Arabidopsis thaliana: one gene and its partner. The protein of the gene in region 1 interacts with the protein of each later gene in a pairwise test. Each region holds a gene or a part of one and is shown in the gene's direction. Other genes may lie near its edges.

Region 1 (9,448 bases):
GTCCTAATTAGAGGTGTCGAAATGATATGTTAGCTCATGAGATGAGTCAACTCAGCTTGGTTTTTTATCAGTATGAATGAAATTCATTTAATAGATGAGTTATATAATCAAGTATAATTTAGAGTACAAATTATATGAACGAGTTTTAACGAACATGAGTTAATTTATGAATTAGACATTTTAAAAAATTAAAAGAATATATATACATATATAACATATATAACTAAATACACTAATATATATTTTTTTGTTGCCAAATTGTAATATACTTCTATAGTTCTAATCAAGAAATAATGTTTAGTGAAAAATATATATAACCTAAAATCTAGTAAGTTTCTCAAAAAAAATTGCATTTTTGATATCGAATTTTTATCACTTTAGGTATCAACAAAAAAAATTAATTTGTTGTAAAATAATTTAAGTACAAATTAAGAAGTGCAAAAGCAAAACAGAATTAAATTAAGTAATTAACTAAAATAAGATGTGTTTTTTTGGGGGTCAAAAGTTAAGATTTTAATATTTTGAATTAATACTTTTTTGGGGGGTCAAGAATTACAACAAACTCTAGTCTATATAGAGAACTGACCAAATAATATAACTATAGTATTATTTGGGTAAAATTTCGATTCAAATAGCAAGTCCTGCGTTATAATCAACAACGAATTTGGATGTGAAGAATTATGTAAGATTTATGAACTATAGATCAAGATTATTGAATGTCCCTTAACTTCTTCTTTTTTTGGCAGATGGTACAACAGTTGCTTAACTTAAAGGCTCCATCACTGTGAATGTCCCTTATTTTGATGTCAGCTTAAGACCAAAAAAAAAAAAAACCAAAAAAAAGAAAAGAAAAGAGAGAAGCTTTGAGAAAGAAAGAAAGAAAGACACAGTGTGTATCAATCTCTGTACTTTCACAAGCTTCCAAGCTCTCTTATCATTCACTGTACTCTTCCTTTCAAATAATGCTTCTGAGTTCTGATAACACCAACAATCTACTACTACTATTATATTTTCTTACACATTTTGCATCACTCTTTTTCAGGATTTTTGGTTCTCGAGAAAAAAGTGAAGATTTTTGAGATTCTCTTTCGATGGATTACGAACGAATCGGAAAGACCCAGGTGAGAAAATGCTTCGGTTTCACGTTTACCGAAACTGGGTTTTGCGTAAAATTAGGGATATCAAAAGCCAGATTTGTCAATTTTCTGATTTCTTACTTCAAAGTACAAACTTTCCTTTTGCAAATCACTTCATCATCATCTCTGTTTTTGATTTGATAAACTCTGTTTCCTCCGATGAATAGGTTACTAGTAGCGGCGGCGGATTTTCTCCGGGGAAGTTAAGGAGTATGCTTCTTCTAGGTGTTGATAGAAAGAAGAATGAAGAAGAAGAATCAACTCCTACAATGAGATCTGGGTCTAATCAAATTGATGACCCTAGGGTTTATGGTGGAGCCCCTTAATCATTTCTTAATACTCTTTTTAATAACGCCTTTTGTCTCTATTTGAATCTAAAGTTTGCATCTTTTTTTCTTTGCTTTTGTTGTTTTCAAATGTTGTAGTTGCTAGTGGATTAGATGATTGCAAAGATGTTGATGTTGTGAGTGAGATTACTGATTGTTCTACTTCAGGGATAGCTAGATCGATTAGTTTGGGTCTTCAAGAGTATTCTGATTATGATAATGTGAATGAGATCAAGAGTGTTTCTGCATCATCTGTCTTTGAGTTTCAAAAGACTGAGAAGGAAAAAGTTAATCAAAGAATGCCTATTAGATCATTCTCTAAACCAGCTCCATCTAAATGGGATGATGCTCAGAAATGGATTGCTAGTCCTACGGCTAACCGACCGAAGACTGGACAGGTTCAGGTTCCGGGTTCGAAGAAAGGGCCTAGCTTTGGTCGTCAGTCTTCTATGAAGATTGTTGAAGTTGCTGAACATAGAGTGGTTGAAGAGCCTGATACAAAGAGAATAGATGTAAGCCAAGTGAAAAAGGATATGGGAAACAAGTTTGGTAGCTGGGAAGTTGATTCGTACACTACCGTGGATTCATATGTCAAACCGGTTCTTATGGTTGAGAACTCTATTGTAGAATCAGCAACTGAAGGTGGTGTTAGCTAGCTCTTTGAGTTATTCAGTTTGTATGCTCTATTTATCTTCTAAAGCCAATTTTACTTGCTTTCTTGCAGTTAATCTCAGCCGTCATGACTCGTCAGTCGCAACTGCGTTTGCTCAACCGCCTTCAACGGCAAGGTCTGTGTCAATGAGAGACATGGGAACTGAAATGACTCCTATAGCGAGCCAAGAACCTTCTAGAAACGGGACACCGATTAGGGCAACAACGCCAATACGAAGTCCTATATCTTCTGAACCTTCAAGTCCAGGCAGACAAGCATCAGCTTCTCCTATGAGTAACAAGGAACTGTCAGAGAAAGAGCTTCAAATGAAAACTAGGAGAGAGATAATGGTGTTGGGTACTCAACTTGGTAAATTTAACATTGCTGCTTGGGCTAGCAAGGAGGATGAAGATAAAGACGCATCCACATCATTAAAGACCAAAGCTTCTCTACAAACTTCTAAAAGTGTTTCTGAAGCTCGTGCTACAGCGTGGGAGGAAGCGGAAAAAGCTAAGCACATGGCTAGGTAGTCCAAAGTTGAATTGTTTGTCATAGTCCTCTAGTTATTCTCGAAACTTTAAGCTTATGATGAGTTCTGTAATCTCCAGGTTCAGACGCGAAGAGATGAAGATTCAAGCATGGGAGAATCATCAGAAGGCGAAATCTGAAGCCGAGATGAAGAAAACCGAGGTAAACTACACTAACATAGCTACGTAAGTTCAAGTCATGATTGTGAACAAACTTGGAAAAACATGAATGATGATGGTGGAGTTCTTGATATTGTAGGTTAAAGTTGAGAGGATTAAGGGACGAGCACAAGACCGGTTGATGAAGAAACTCGCTACAATCGAGCGCAAAGCAGAGGAAAAGCGAGCAGCGGCTGAAGCAAAGAAGGATCATCAGGCAGCTAAAACAGAGAAACAAGCTGAACAAATCCGAAGAACAGGCAAAGTACCTTCATTGTTGTTCTCTTGCTTTAGCTTTTGTTCTTAAATCCAATCCTATTGTGAATGTGATGTTGTTAATTCTCAAGAACACATCTTTCTATCATCATTTGTATAATAAAAGCTTTGAAAAACTTATTTCTTGTGATCTTTTAGTTGCTTTGTACATCTTCAAATTTTGGTTTTGAGAGATCTTCGAATTACTCGGTTCAAGATGTCCTTACCAAAGTGAAAACCAAAGTTTTGATTTTGGTTTGGATTTAATTTTGGTTAGATTTCCTTACCAATGTTTGATTGTAAAAGATCTACCAATCGGTTTACAATTTTGGTTCAAGTTCGGTTTAAATCACCTTATCATTGTCTATTTCACAACATTCCAAAGTCGCTGGTTCCATCAGAAGTTATAATATCAAGGCAAACAATATGGCTAACAAATAAACCAATAATAAATCCCCACGTGTCAGTATTTGATTGATTACAAATAAACCGAACTTGATCTATTGATATTTCCCATCACATAAGAAAAAAAAAGAGCCAAAAAAAAAAACTTTTAGGCTTAGCTTTAAAGGGCACACACACACAGTCGCGAGTTTCTCTCTGGTGCGCTCTTTGTGGCGGCTCGTCTTCTTCTTCTTCTTCCACGGGACTCTCTCTGAATCGGTGATTTTCGATCTTCCTAGGGTTTCGATCTGAAACCTTGCGATCTACTTGAAAGAGAGATTCAGAAATTTCCAAGTAATAATAATGTTTGCGCCTGCGACTCAACCGCAACAGCAACATGAGCAGAAGAAGCAATCAGAGACTGTTTCATCTGCTGAAGAAGATGCTTTGAAGTGGAACACCGATTGCGTTTACTTTCTCGCTTCTCCTTTAACCTGCAAGAAGGTAATTGATTTTTGATTATTGTTTCGCTTAGATCTTATCCAGTTTCTGCTTCAATTAGGGTTTTGGATTTGAGATCTCAAGTTTCTTTCACCCGATTTCAAGTTTCTCTGTGTTTTTGTGTCCCTCGAAGCTATCTATACATACTTCACTTCTCCATCTGCTTAATTTTGGTGCGAGATTTAGATCTGGTGATTTCGAACCTCGTGATTCTAAGTATTGTTGTTTCTTAGGGCTTCTTGTTAGCTAGATTGAAAATTACATATACAAAGCTTTATAAGGATGTTCTGATAAAGGAGATTTTCATGTTCTGTGAATATGATTTTTGCTCGATGTGTATGTTTATGCTGAAGAACGATTCTTATGGTTTCTTCCTTTTTTGCTTACAGGGACCTGAATGCGAGTATCGCCACAGTGAGTATGCGCGTATGAACCCGAGGGATTGCTATTATTGGTTGAATGGAAACTGTTTGAATCCCAAATGTGGATTTCGGCATCCTGTGAGTTTACTTTCTTCCTCAATAGATAGTCTCTGCTTGAGCTTCTTGAGTTGTATTATCAAAGTGTGCTTATGTTTGTGGTTTTGTTTTCTTACAGCCTTTGGAGGGATTGTTGGGAAATCAAGGAGGTGCTCCTGCTGTTTCTGTACAGCCAATACATGCAACCGCGCAGCATCCTAGTGTTGCAAAACAGCCTGTTCCATGTCTGTTCTTTCAAAAAGGCATGTGTATGAAAGGAGATATGTGTTCGTTCTTGCACACGCCGAATCCTGCTGCGTATAAAAAACAGCATCCTGTAGAAGCTAAGCCTGCTACTGATCCTCAGTGTTCTAAAAAGCCAATTGAAAATAACACTGAGGAGAAGAAACTTCCTGATGTTAATCTCTCAAAGGTGGTTAAAGGACATACTGACATATCGGCTGCACCAAGAGTCGCTTCTACTGGACTAAGGGATAGTAGAAGTGTAGAGGGATACATTCCAAACCATGTGGGATATGAGCCTGTTGTGCAGAGAAAGGGTCCAGGATTCCCTTCTTTTACTGAAGGAGGCCATTCTACTCAGTTGCTTCAGAAATATGGATCTGATGATAATAACAGTTTCCACAATGGTAAGGATGCAGATGACGTTTTAAGAGAGTCGTCTCCTGGGTTTGATGTTCTTGTGGATAATGAGGCTGGAGATTCTGAGTATTATCATGTTGAAGATCGATATGGACGTAGAAGTCAGGAGAGAGGGAACTCAGAGTATGACCCTGATTTCAGTGCAATTGCTGATGGTGATAAAGAAGCATTACGTGAACAACGTTTTGATTCATATGATCGGAGGGAAGACAGGGGATGGGGCCATCGTCGAGTTTCTTCTGAGAGAGAGGATCGTTTGGACAGAAGGGTTTACGCAGAAGATGAGAGATCAGAGAACATACTGGAATCGGATCTGAGATATCGTTTGGCTAAGCAGAGAAAAGGCAATGGTATGAGATTATCAGTAGGAGGCCATGACTATGCTGCTCCTGACTCTTCGATGGACAGAGGATATAGAGAGTCTCGTAGGGATACACCGAGGGAAAACTCCATTAGCAGTAGTCGTCTTCAGGGTAGAATTAAGCTTCGTGAGAGAAGCAATGGCGAAGAGGGTCACCACTTTGACAGGAGAAGTGAGAGGGGAAGGGACAGAAGCGAGTTACCTTCTCAGGGTAGACTCCGAGATAGAATTAAGGGTAGGTTAGAGGAAAACCATAGTGGTAATCAGGAAAGAGGTTTCGGGGCTCCATGGGCGAGAAGAAGAGAAATGGAAGACGAAAGAAAATCAGCTCCTAAAAGCAGCAGAGAGGAAAGTAAGCCAGAGCCATCTCTTGGGAAGAGGAAAAGCTTTGAAGAGGATCATCATAGTCATAAGCGATCAAGGGATTCATTTGCAGCTCCATTGCCTTTCAGTGAGATTCTCAAGAGAAAAAAAGCGGCCGCATCTGGTGGTAGCAGAAACAACAACAAGGACGAGACGATATCGAAAGAGGAAGCTGGAGATGAGATCAAACTCATAACCGAAGAGAAAACCGAGGTTGTCTCTGAACCCAAAGCTGAAGTAGAAGAAGAAGGAACGGTTATGGAGGAAGAAGAAATTGTTGGGGAGGAAGTGTATGAAGGAAATGAAGACGAGCAAGCTTATGAAGGCGATGAGCTAAACGGAGAGTACTATTACGAAGAAGGATATGAAGAAGAGGGAGGAGAATACGCTTACGAAGAAGGTGAAGAAGTAGTTTACGCGGCTGAGGAAGGAGAAGAAGAAGCAACAGAAGGAGGTGAAGGTGAGGGTGAAGAAGACATTGAGAAGAAGACCGTTGAGATGTTGTCATAAAAGAAGAAAGAGTAACACAGAAAAAAGCTTTTGCTCCTTTCCTCTCTCTCTCTCTCTCTGCTTAATGCAAATGGAGAGAAGAAGTCGTAGAGCAAATAATACGAGTCGCTTTTATCTTTGGCTTGGCACTGAGTTTTAGTCGCCATTTTTTCTTACTGTGATTTCTTAAATTGTAACACTAGAGAAGAAAGAAAAGAAACAATGGTACAAGTACACCATATCATATTTCTGAGTTTTACTGTTTTCTAATCTGTTTTGATATATTACTTTTTCCTCAAATTAAAAAGTATTTACAGTAAATAACTTATTTTAGCTTTTAACACCTTTTATCATTATTGTTTTTGCACTTGCATACCATGAATGATGTAATACCACTTTAGCATTATTGTTTTTGCCCTTTCCATAACATGAGTAATTATGTAACTGATTTCCACCAATCAACTTTAAAGTATTTACGAATTTAGTCGACCAATCTAATTAACCCTGAGTTAAAAAATGTTATGAGAAAAAGAAGACTGGGCCCAGAATTATAACTTTTGGGCCTATGTAGCCCGTTTCCAAAGGCCCATAAATCATTATTTTACAAACAAGAACAACAACAGGTAAAGAAATAGACTTGGTGGAAAAAAGCAACAAAACCCAGAGTTCTTCATAAACCCTACTTTCTTCTTCTTCTTCTCCTTCCTTCCTCTTCAGTAGAATAGTTGAATACCATAGAATACAATGTCTCTGAGTTAAACCATGAGGCTCATTCTATTCACTTTTAACTTTTTTCCTGAAAATGTTCTGTTCTCTTCGCAATTTTCTTCACGTTAATCGCAGATTCCCTCGCCATGTAAGCCCTTCTTCTTCTTCCCTCTCTCAAATCCAATCACCTCTCTGTTTCCCTCTCTCTTCTCCTTCTCCTTCTCAATCTTCCTTTATCTCTTGCCCTTTCGTTTGGTTCACTAGTTTTCTCTGTATCATTCGATACCCTTTCGTTACCAAAAGCGGTACTTCTACTTATTCCGAAGATTTTGATAGAGATTGGATCCGTAAAGTTGTTCACAATGATCTATGGGATGATCCTGGACTCGAAAAGCTTTTTGATTTGACATTAGCTCCGATTTGGGTTCCAAGGGTTCTCGTTGAATTGAAAGAAGACCCTAAATTAGCTTTCAAATTCTTCAAATGGTCGATGACTCGTAATGGGTTTAAGCACTCTGTAGAATCTTACTGTATAGTAGCTCACATTCTGTTTTGTGCTAGAATGTATTATGATGCTAATAGTGTCCTTAAAGAGATGGTTTTGTCAAAGGCGGACTGCGATGTTTTCGATGTTCTGTGGTCTACAAGGAATGTGTGTGTACCTGGTTTTGGAGTGTTTGATGCTTTGTTTAGTGTTTTGATTGATCTAGGAATGCTTGAGGAAGCTATTCAGTGTTTCTCTAAGATGAAGAGATTTAGAGTTTTCCCAAAAACTCGGTCTTGCAACGGTTTATTGCATAGGTTTGCGAAATTAGGGAAGACTGATGATGTGAAGAGGTTTTTCAAAGACATGATTGGTGCTGGTGCGAGACCGACTGTGTTTACTTACAATATAATGATAGATTGTATGTGTAAAGAAGGAGATGTTGAAGCTGCTAGAGGCTTGTTTGAAGAAATGAAGTTTAGAGGGTTGGTTCCTGACACTGTTACATATAATTCTATGATTGATGGTTTTGGGAAGGTTGGTCGATTAGATGATACGGTTTGCTTTTTCGAGGAAATGAAGGATATGTGCTGCGAGCCTGATGTTATAACATATAATGCATTGATCAATTGTTTCTGTAAATTCGGGAAATTGCCTATAGGTTTGGAGTTTTATAGAGAGATGAAGGGAAATGGGTTGAAACCGAATGTTGTGAGTTATAGCACTTTGGTTGATGCGTTTTGTAAAGAGGGTATGATGCAACAAGCCATCAAGTTTTATGTTGACATGAGAAGAGTTGGTCTTGTGCCTAATGAGTATACATATACTTCCCTCATTGATGCCAATTGTAAAATTGGTAATCTCTCTGATGCTTTTAGGTTAGGGAATGAGATGTTGCAAGTGGGTGTAGAATGGAATGTGGTCACTTACACTGCGCTTATTGATGGCCTTTGTGATGCGGAGAGAATGAAAGAAGCTGAAGAACTTTTTGGAAAAATGGATACAGCTGGGGTGATTCCAAATCTTGCAAGTTACAATGCTCTGATTCATGGATTTGTAAAAGCGAAAAATATGGACAGAGCATTAGAGCTTTTAAACGAATTGAAGGGGAGAGGTATTAAACCGGATTTGCTGCTCTATGGAACGTTCATTTGGGGTTTGTGCAGTTTAGAAAAGATAGAGGCTGCTAAGGTAGTGATGAATGAAATGAAGGAATGTGGGATCAAAGCGAATTCGCTGATTTACACAACGTTAATGGATGCGTACTTTAAGTCGGGAAACCCAACTGAGGGATTGCACCTACTGGACGAGATGAAAGAACTTGATATTGAGGTCACAGTTGTTACCTTTTGCGTTTTGATTGATGGATTGTGCAAAAACAAGTTGGTTTCTAAAGCAGTTGATTATTTCAATAGGATAAGTAACGATTTTGGTCTACAGGCTAATGCAGCGATATTCACAGCGATGATTGATGGTCTCTGTAAAGATAACCAAGTTGAGGCTGCAACAACTCTTTTTGAACAAATGGTTCAGAAGGGGTTAGTTCCTGACAGAACGGCATACACATCGTTAATGGATGGCAACTTTAAGCAAGGGAATGTGCTAGAGGCTTTGGCTTTACGAGACAAAATGGCTGAGATTGGTATGAAGCTTGATTTGCTTGCTTACACTTCATTAGTCTGGGGGTTATCGCACTGCAATCAGTTGCAAAAAGCGAGATCCTTCCTCGAGGAAATGATCGGGGAAGGAATTCACCCTGATGAGGTCTTGTGTATTAGTGTCTTGAAGAAACACTATGAGCTTGGATGTATAGATGAAGCTGTAGAGTTGCAGAGTTATCTGATGAAGCATCAACTTTTGACCAGTGACAACGATAATGCACTCCCAAACATGTGATACTCATGCAATCTCTTTGCTCTTATCAATGGATTCAGATATTCGGATCAAAACCTTGTTTCTTCTAGAGAACATGAAGAACAAGA
Region 2 (7,750 bases), on another chromosome or scaffold:
TTGTGAGTTATATATTAAAACAGATATCTGCGTATAGAGAGACTCGAACTTTGGATCTCTTGCAATCAAATAATATTTTGACTTCTTGCACTAAATTGAAGTACACTATCAATTTTGCAATTTAAACCACAACTTATACTACCACCACCACCATTTTGTGGGGATCTGTTTTATTTATTATAAAAATGATTTTTGGAGTTTCAACAAATGGGAGTTGATATTGCATAGAATTAGTAACTCAAAACGTTTTCAGTTTTTCATTATACTAAGCCCAATTCTTCCAGAAACTTGGTATTATATCCGAACAAGATTAAACGTAAATAGTTGCATTAGGATATTTGTCCACTAATTAATATTTTTATATACATTAAGAAAAGCATCATATTTTGGTTATCTATATAAATGAAACATAAATCCAATAAAAAGTAGTATTAAACATTTTTCCATGTCTATTTTTATAAATGATGTTTTAAAATATTGTAGAATTAAATGAATATTTTTTTGTAGAAATAATTATGATACGTAGAAAAAAAAAACGAAATAAGTCTTGTTTAGGATTGTTTCCTTGTTTGTGGAATGTTGTTGTGTACCAAAATTTGATTTATTCTTTTCATATTTGCATATATTTTAAAATAGAAGGGAATGTTCTTATTTTGTCCAACAGAAAACTATTTAGATATATTAGTCATAAGAGATGAGGCGAAACAAATTATTAGCTTCATCACCTCTCCAAAGGCTAACTAATGACTCTCTCCACGTCTAGAAAAACCCTCTTCTTCATTTGGCCCTCCACTCACATGCAAACACATATAAATATTAATGAAGACACACTAACATTTTAATTGCAAGACAAGTAGACAACCTAACAAAGTTTTGTTGTGGACTTGGTCTCTCATCTTCTCCGAGAGAGAAAGAGAGAGAGAGACAGAGATCAACAAAATTTCGGCTCATCCAAGGCTGTGTATTATCAACATAAGCCGCACACAAACGAAATGGGATTAATGGATACAAGATGGGAAACCATAGTTCCATTTATTGTTATGGCGTTGATGGAGGCATGTACCATTGCACTCACCATCTTGGCTAAGACCGCACTGACCGGTGGCATGAGCCCTTTCGTGTTCATCGTCTACACCAACGCTCTTGGCTCTCTCCTTCTCCTCCCTTACTCTTTCTACTTCCATAGAGATGAAAGGTACTTAAAAAGCATGATCTATGTGTTTATACATGGCTTTCTCAATTTGAGATATTATGATGATATAGATGTTCTAATTTGTTTACAGTGACGATGAACCCTTCCTCACGAAACCTTCCCTTGTTCGTATCTTCCTACTCGGTTTTACAGGGTTAGTTCCCTTTAAAACTTTATATATATCATTGTCTATCTATTTACATAAGATTCAATGATATATTTTGCATTCCTATTTATCTCCCAATTTCATTCAATAACTAAATATATTGGGACTGTAATAGCTGTAATAATTAAAAAAAATAGTAATTAAATAAAAAAAATTGGAACACCTGATTTCATAATTAAATAGTTATATTAGAGTTTAGATTCTTAAATTAATATTTTTCTTGAACAGGGTGTTTTTGTTCCAGAACATGGCATTTTTGGGGCTAAGTTATAGCTCTCCAATTGTGGTATGTGCCATGGGCTTGCAGTCACCTGCTTTCTCCTTCTTGCTATCTCTTGCTCTTGGGTAAACTAAATTACTTCTATTAAAATTTAAATTTCTTTAGCTATGTTTATAATTGAACTATAACTAACAATGATTTCAATAAATTTTGAATATAAATTAGTAAGGAAGGAGGGTTAGGATGGGCAAGTAAGAGAACAAAAGGAAGAGTGATAGGCACGTTGATATGTTTCACAGGAGCCTTTGTTGAAGTTATTTACTTAGGACCTTTTATAAGACCTTCTCCTCCTTCATCCCCAACCTCCAATTTCCTTACTACAATCTCACACTACTTAACTTTCTTCAAAAATTCTGACAATTGGGCTCTCGGCTCTCTCCTCCTTGCATGCGCCACGCTCTCCATCTCCATTTGGAATATTATACAGGTAATCAAAATTACGTTTCAAGATATCGATTTTCGAAAACAAATATTATCATTTGTAGATGAATCTACACACGTCTTAACTTGATTCTTAAGTAATGCATACACGTTTTAATTATTAATTATTTTTTTTGTTTTTGTTGGTCGGGTTATGTTATTCGGTATATCAGTTGGATACAGTCCAAAAATATCCTCAAGTGATGAAAGTAGTGTCTGCCTATAGTTTAGCTGGGACACTCCAATGTGCAATCTTCTCAGCGTTCATGGAGCCAGACCTAAGTGCATGGGAACTCAAACTTAACATGGACCTATATCTCATTATTGCCACGGTATATCTATGTGATCATATATTATAATTACTATATAGTATGTATTTCGTAATCTGAGGATGTGTATATATAATCATATATATTGTTCATTTATAGGGAATATTTGGGAGCATAATCAGAACAAGTGTTCAAGTGAAGTGCTCCAAAATGAAGGGGCCTTATTATGTGCCACTCTTCAAGCCATTTGGGATCCTTTGGGCTTCCATTTTTGGCACAAGCTTCTTTGTCAATAGTCTTCACTATGGAAGGTAAATATAATTTTCGAAAGTTATATTTAAACAACGAAGAGACTCAAATTATTCTCTAGTTACATGCGTTCATTTATTTTTAACCCAAATGCTTAATACCAAATCAAATATGCATATATGTTTGATATGACTTTTATTCCTGTTCAAATTTTATTATATACATATCTTAATGTGTTATATAAAAAATTTAAGTTGTCCCTTAGTTTCCTTTTTGATTTTTTCATATTTTAAAATAAGTAAAAAAGTTCAAACCAATTTTTTTTTTTTTAGTTTACATATCAATTTTCGATTTGAATATGATATGTTCAGGTTGTTAAATGTGAACTTCTTGTGAACAGTGTGTTAGGAGCTGCTATAGCAGGAACTGGATATCTATTGATAATGTGGAGTCAAGTTCAAAAAGATGATCCAAATGAAACGGTGGAGAAAAACGATAATCATCAATTGGATTCAGATGAACAGACAACTCCACTTTTGCTCGCGAATGGTGATTTTGATCAAGTTTAATTCAGAAATGGTTGTTCGCCTAATGTGTTTAGTTGTGTTATGTTAAACATAAATTAAGGGTAAGTAAATCGAAGAAATTATATATAAAAAAAAACATATGTGTGTGAAGCAAAACAAATATATATATAAAGTCTTGTAACGTTTTTTTGTATGAGAGGAATGTATCAAAGTCTATCAAAATTAAAAGTAAATTATGAGTTAAAATAAAACGAAAAAAATATAAGTTTTACTTTTTATCCAAATAAAACTCACGATGCAATCATATATGCAACCTCAAATGAGGACTAAATAGTAAATAGTTGTTACTTATATGAAACTACTTGAAGGTCCATCTTTGGCATTCGTCTCACTATAAACGGGAATGATCCGGTTGATCTAATTTAGTAATTTATATCAGTTCCAAGAGAATTTTCACAAACACTGAACCCAACCAAAACTCATTCGATATAATCAAACTACAATAAAAACAGTTCAAATAGAAAAAAAACCATAAATGACCATGAAAACAAATTGTGGTTAATGTTTTTGATATATAGCTACTAAAACAGTCAAAATTGTTTAACATCCAATTAGCTACATCTTTTTGCAGCACCCACCGCATCTGCAAAAAAAATGAATAAAATCCAAAACCGAGGTGAATGCTGAATCAGACACAAACCAGTTGTGGAGAGTTTGGTTGAAGACATGAATTCAAACCCGAAACAGACTAACCAAAAAGCTTTTCTACGAACTTTTCTTAAAAAGACACATTTGTTTAGTCATTAACTTAGAATAACTAACAAAATTATCTCTAAGCATTTGGAGGGTAATTATGCACTCAATTAGTTGCCAAATTATAAGTTGTATTGAAGGAGAAATTAGGTAAGAGGAATTCTTGATTTCGAAGGCGTTGGACTCGAATTACCCTATTTCTCTATCAATCCAACTTAATTTCGATTCTAGAATTCCTAGGGTTTGAAGAGTATGTTGGACGGTTTGTGGGATCTTATCTCTGAAAGCAGTGTTCTTATTGAAAAATTGGGAAAATCAATCGTCTCTCAGGTTTTTACCAATTACATGAGTTGTGAGTTAATTAAGGTTTAACGTATATGACCAGTTGTGTTTATGTTCTGCTTTGTGTTGTCCAATTATTGAGACCTTTTTTTTTTGGGCAAATCCAATTATTGAGACCATGTGTAAATGTTATTACTTTTTAAAGCAAATATGTAGGTAAATAAAAATAATTGACTTAAGCCAAATAATAAAATTGACAAAACCACTTAAGAAGACTGCGTCGATTTATAAAATATTTGTTGGCAATTAATTGAGGAAAAATACAGTTACGCGTTTCATAAAAACTAAATAAAATAGGATGAAGCAAAAAAAGGAAAATATCACTACGAGATCTAATGAAAAGACCTCACAAGATTTCGGACGCGCATATTAGATATGATTTTTTACGCATTTTCACCAAATTATGACCGTTGTGGGATTGAGGAAACCTAATCTTCTAAGTCTCTATATATTAAAGAATCATCATAGCCTTCTCGTTGCACTTCCCATTACGATCGAAAGTTCTCTGCTTTTTATCTCTCTCTCACGATTTAATCAAAGTTTCATCTTCTCTCTCTCTTTCAAAAGATGGCTCCTCGTCAGAAGAAACCTAACAAGTCCGATGATGATGATGGTGATTTGCATAGGAAGAAACAGAGCTTTTTCAAACAGAGATTTCCAGGCTTTAAGAAGAAAGCCTCAGAGCTCTCTGTTCTCTGCGGCAACTCTGTCGGTTTCATCTGTTACGGTCCCGACAACGATCTCCATGTTTGGCCTCAGTCTCAAGATCATAACCCACAAGCCCTACATGAGATCGTGGCCAAGTTCAATGCCTTGAGTGATGAGAGGAGGAAGAATCATGCATGTGATCTCAATGACTTCCCTCATCATCTCAAGGGTTTGTCTCGTGAGGAGTTAAGGAAGCATCTCCTTCACCTTGACTCTCAATTACTTGGAGTCAGGGAACAAAAGATAGAAATTCTTAAGAAGACGCTCACGGGTTCTTCCGAAAAAGATGGTGCAAGGGTTTCAGAGAACTCGGCCATCTCCGATCACAAGTTGAAGATAGAGCCTAATTTGACGGATATATTGTCAGAAGATCATCTAATTAGGGTTTCAGATAAGAAGCTGGGTTCGTGTGATGTATTTGACGAGTTGGCTTACGTGGTCCGCGGGTCAAGGAATTTGAACGAGAATGTTTCCAATTACGAATCAAAAGATGCAGCTTACACGGGAATGGATCATCTTGGCACTTTCGGCGGTAATTATCTTCAGGAGGCGGCGGCAGAACTTTACCAAACTTACAATCTAGGGAATTTTTGTGATGATCATGTTTGGGATCTGGAGTTTGCCTCAAGACTACCACCACTTCATACATTTAGCGATCCTCTCATGACCACCAATACTTGCCAAACGATGAGCTCCGATATGATTTCAATTTGATAACTTGATGACTACGTTAGTGAAATCATGTTTCTTTCACCTTTTCTCGGTGATTGATCATTTTTTAGTATCTCTTAACTTGTATGTTTGCTCCAACACAAATCCATGTTTGTAAAGTTGGTAGTTTTTTTTCTTGTTTATTATTGATTAATCAAACTTTTCCTTTCTTTCTGTTATTCTTTCTCTGTAACCCTATTTTGACTGCAACACCAACTTATCAGATAAACAAAACGTTGTAAACCATGCAAGAAACAAAGAGTTCATAACCTAAATTGCACAACTCGTTAAAGCTTCTAGAGCAGGGAATGAAAGTTATACATACTTGTTCAGATGTTAATTCACTGTCAAGTCTTGGAGATGCCTTGTTTTTAATGACGGATGACACGTTCTTTATGTCAATCTAGTGTTTGCTTCAGCAAGTCTTTCTGTCCCTCGACCTCGTGTTTACCAAGTCAACATTCCTAATCAGCATTCTCATAATTAGAACGAACTTCAGTGGAGTAACTCAACTGATCAACTTGTGACGTAAACACAAAATAAAGTACCCATGAAACTACATATAAGCTTTGTTCACGATCAAATTCATAAGCATATCCATGAATCAAATCCCCAAAACTTCAATTCTACAAGGCTTGCGATGCAATATAATTATTACTCTATATGCTATTTATTTGATTGCCACTGATTTGGCCACTACCACAAGTTTTAAAAAATTTGAGATAAAAATTGGCACATGTTCTCCCTAAAGTAACTGTTAGAACGTGACGACTAGTAGTTACCAATGAAAAGTTGGCAGACGTTCTTGCAAAAATATTAGCTAATGGTGAGTGACTAGCAGCTGCCAATGACAAAGCTAACAGTTTTTTTTTTTTTTTCTAAATTATCTAAAGACAAAACTAACAGTAAGTCCCCAAAAAATAACAGTTAGTTGTGAAACTATATACAGTATACTATCAATTAGCGACTGCTAGTACTGTCGAACCGACGACTAACGTCAGCTAGTTGAAGAACTTGCCGTCTCTTCTGGAACTCCGTTGGTCTATTTTTCAGCCAAAACACAAAAACTAAAAAGTTTTAAGTACTGATGTTCACAGAGCAATGATTTGTCAAATTTTTCAAGTGAAAAGTCCTCCCTTAATAATACTGTTACTTGTAAAGTTTCAAAAGTCAAAGTGGTTGTAACTTGTGGTGTAGTAAGGTAGAGTTTTACGCTAAATAAAAACATCCCAAAACTGATTATAACCCCATTCAATATGGTTCCAATTTAGAAAAGTATATAGTATTAATAGAGTAAAGTGTGGGGATGGAGTCATTAAAGGTAGAAGAGAAGTATGCATGTCTACGGATTGCTTCGACTTTACGTTATGCTAAAGTATATAAAGGTGAAAGAAGCGACTGTTGAATTTATTTCATTTTTCCTCAATTACAATTTTTTGATTAACTAGGTTCTAAATTGACGGTCATACAATTTCTAAACACATAATATTTTTTGAATATTTTATCCGTACCAACAACTATCACTCGATTCTGTCAACTCTTGAAATATTTTCAAGTTTCTTTACCGTCGAGTTATCGATCTCTAGTTCCCTCTATTACATTTTATTTGTAACGTCCAGACTTTCTTAACTTTTGTCTTTCAAAGTGTTCTTGCATTATTTCTCCTAAAAACTTTGTCAAGCTTCTGTATTTAACGTGATTTTAGCGATTAAATGTGAATTTCTATCTTGATATTTGTGATTAATGGAAGAGAGTTGAGCAAAGAAGATATTCATTTTTGTGTTTCATTCTGTCTGAATCAGTATACATACTATTTATGCGTGTTTCCAAAATCTCTTGTTTTATTGATATCAAATACGATTTATAATATACTTTAAATGTGGTCCTTAAGTTAGGTGATGTTGCTATAAATATACAAACTCTATATTAAAACTAAAATTTAATACTTTTGTTTGTATTTGTAAATTTATTTACCTATTTCTTTGTTTCACAATTTATGCTGTTCTATATTATATTCACTAGAATTTAAAAGTAATTTATAAAAATAGCTCTTTTCCTCTTCCTCTTCACATTGAAGCTTTTATTTTTCTTATAGGTTTCGTGTCCTCCAAGTGGTTCTTTCTTCTCAAAGGT

The links.
Region 2: the proteins of AT2G02160 (region 1) and AGL49 interact in a two-hybrid assay, tested with the Arabidopsis thaliana proteins (one large-scale study listed by BioGRID).

The regions. Positions count from the first base shown.
Region 1 is NC_003071.7:550,254-559,701, reverse strand, and holds AT2G02160 (CCCH-type zinc finger family protein), read left to right. Parts: upstream 1-3,570; 5' UTR 3,571-3,802; coding exon 3,803-3,943; intron 3,944-4,329; coding exon 4,330-4,440; intron 4,441-4,537; coding exon 4,538-6,295; 3' UTR 6,296-6,616; downstream 6,617-9,448. Other genes in the region: AT2G02170 (Remorin family protein), read left to right, coding at 1,092-1,121, 1,304-1,448, 1,562-2,104, 2,187-2,640, 2,723-2,804, 2,901-3,107; EMB2794 (Tetratricopeptide repeat (TPR)-like superfamily protein), read left to right, coding at 7,077-9,362.
Region 2 is NC_003070.9:22,116,945-22,124,694, reverse strand, and holds AGL49 (AGAMOUS-like 49), read left to right. Parts: upstream 1-4,765; coding exon 4,766-5,620; 3' UTR 5,621-5,721; downstream 5,722-7,750. Other genes in the region: UMAMIT35 (Nodulin MtN21 /EamA-like transporter family protein), read left to right, coding at 993-1,195, 1,284-1,346, 1,587-1,703, 1,804-2,065, 2,232-2,390, 2,487-2,638, 2,977-3,145. UniProt on the Arabidopsis thaliana protein: Probable transcription factor that may function in the maintenance of the proper function of the central cell in pollen tube attraction.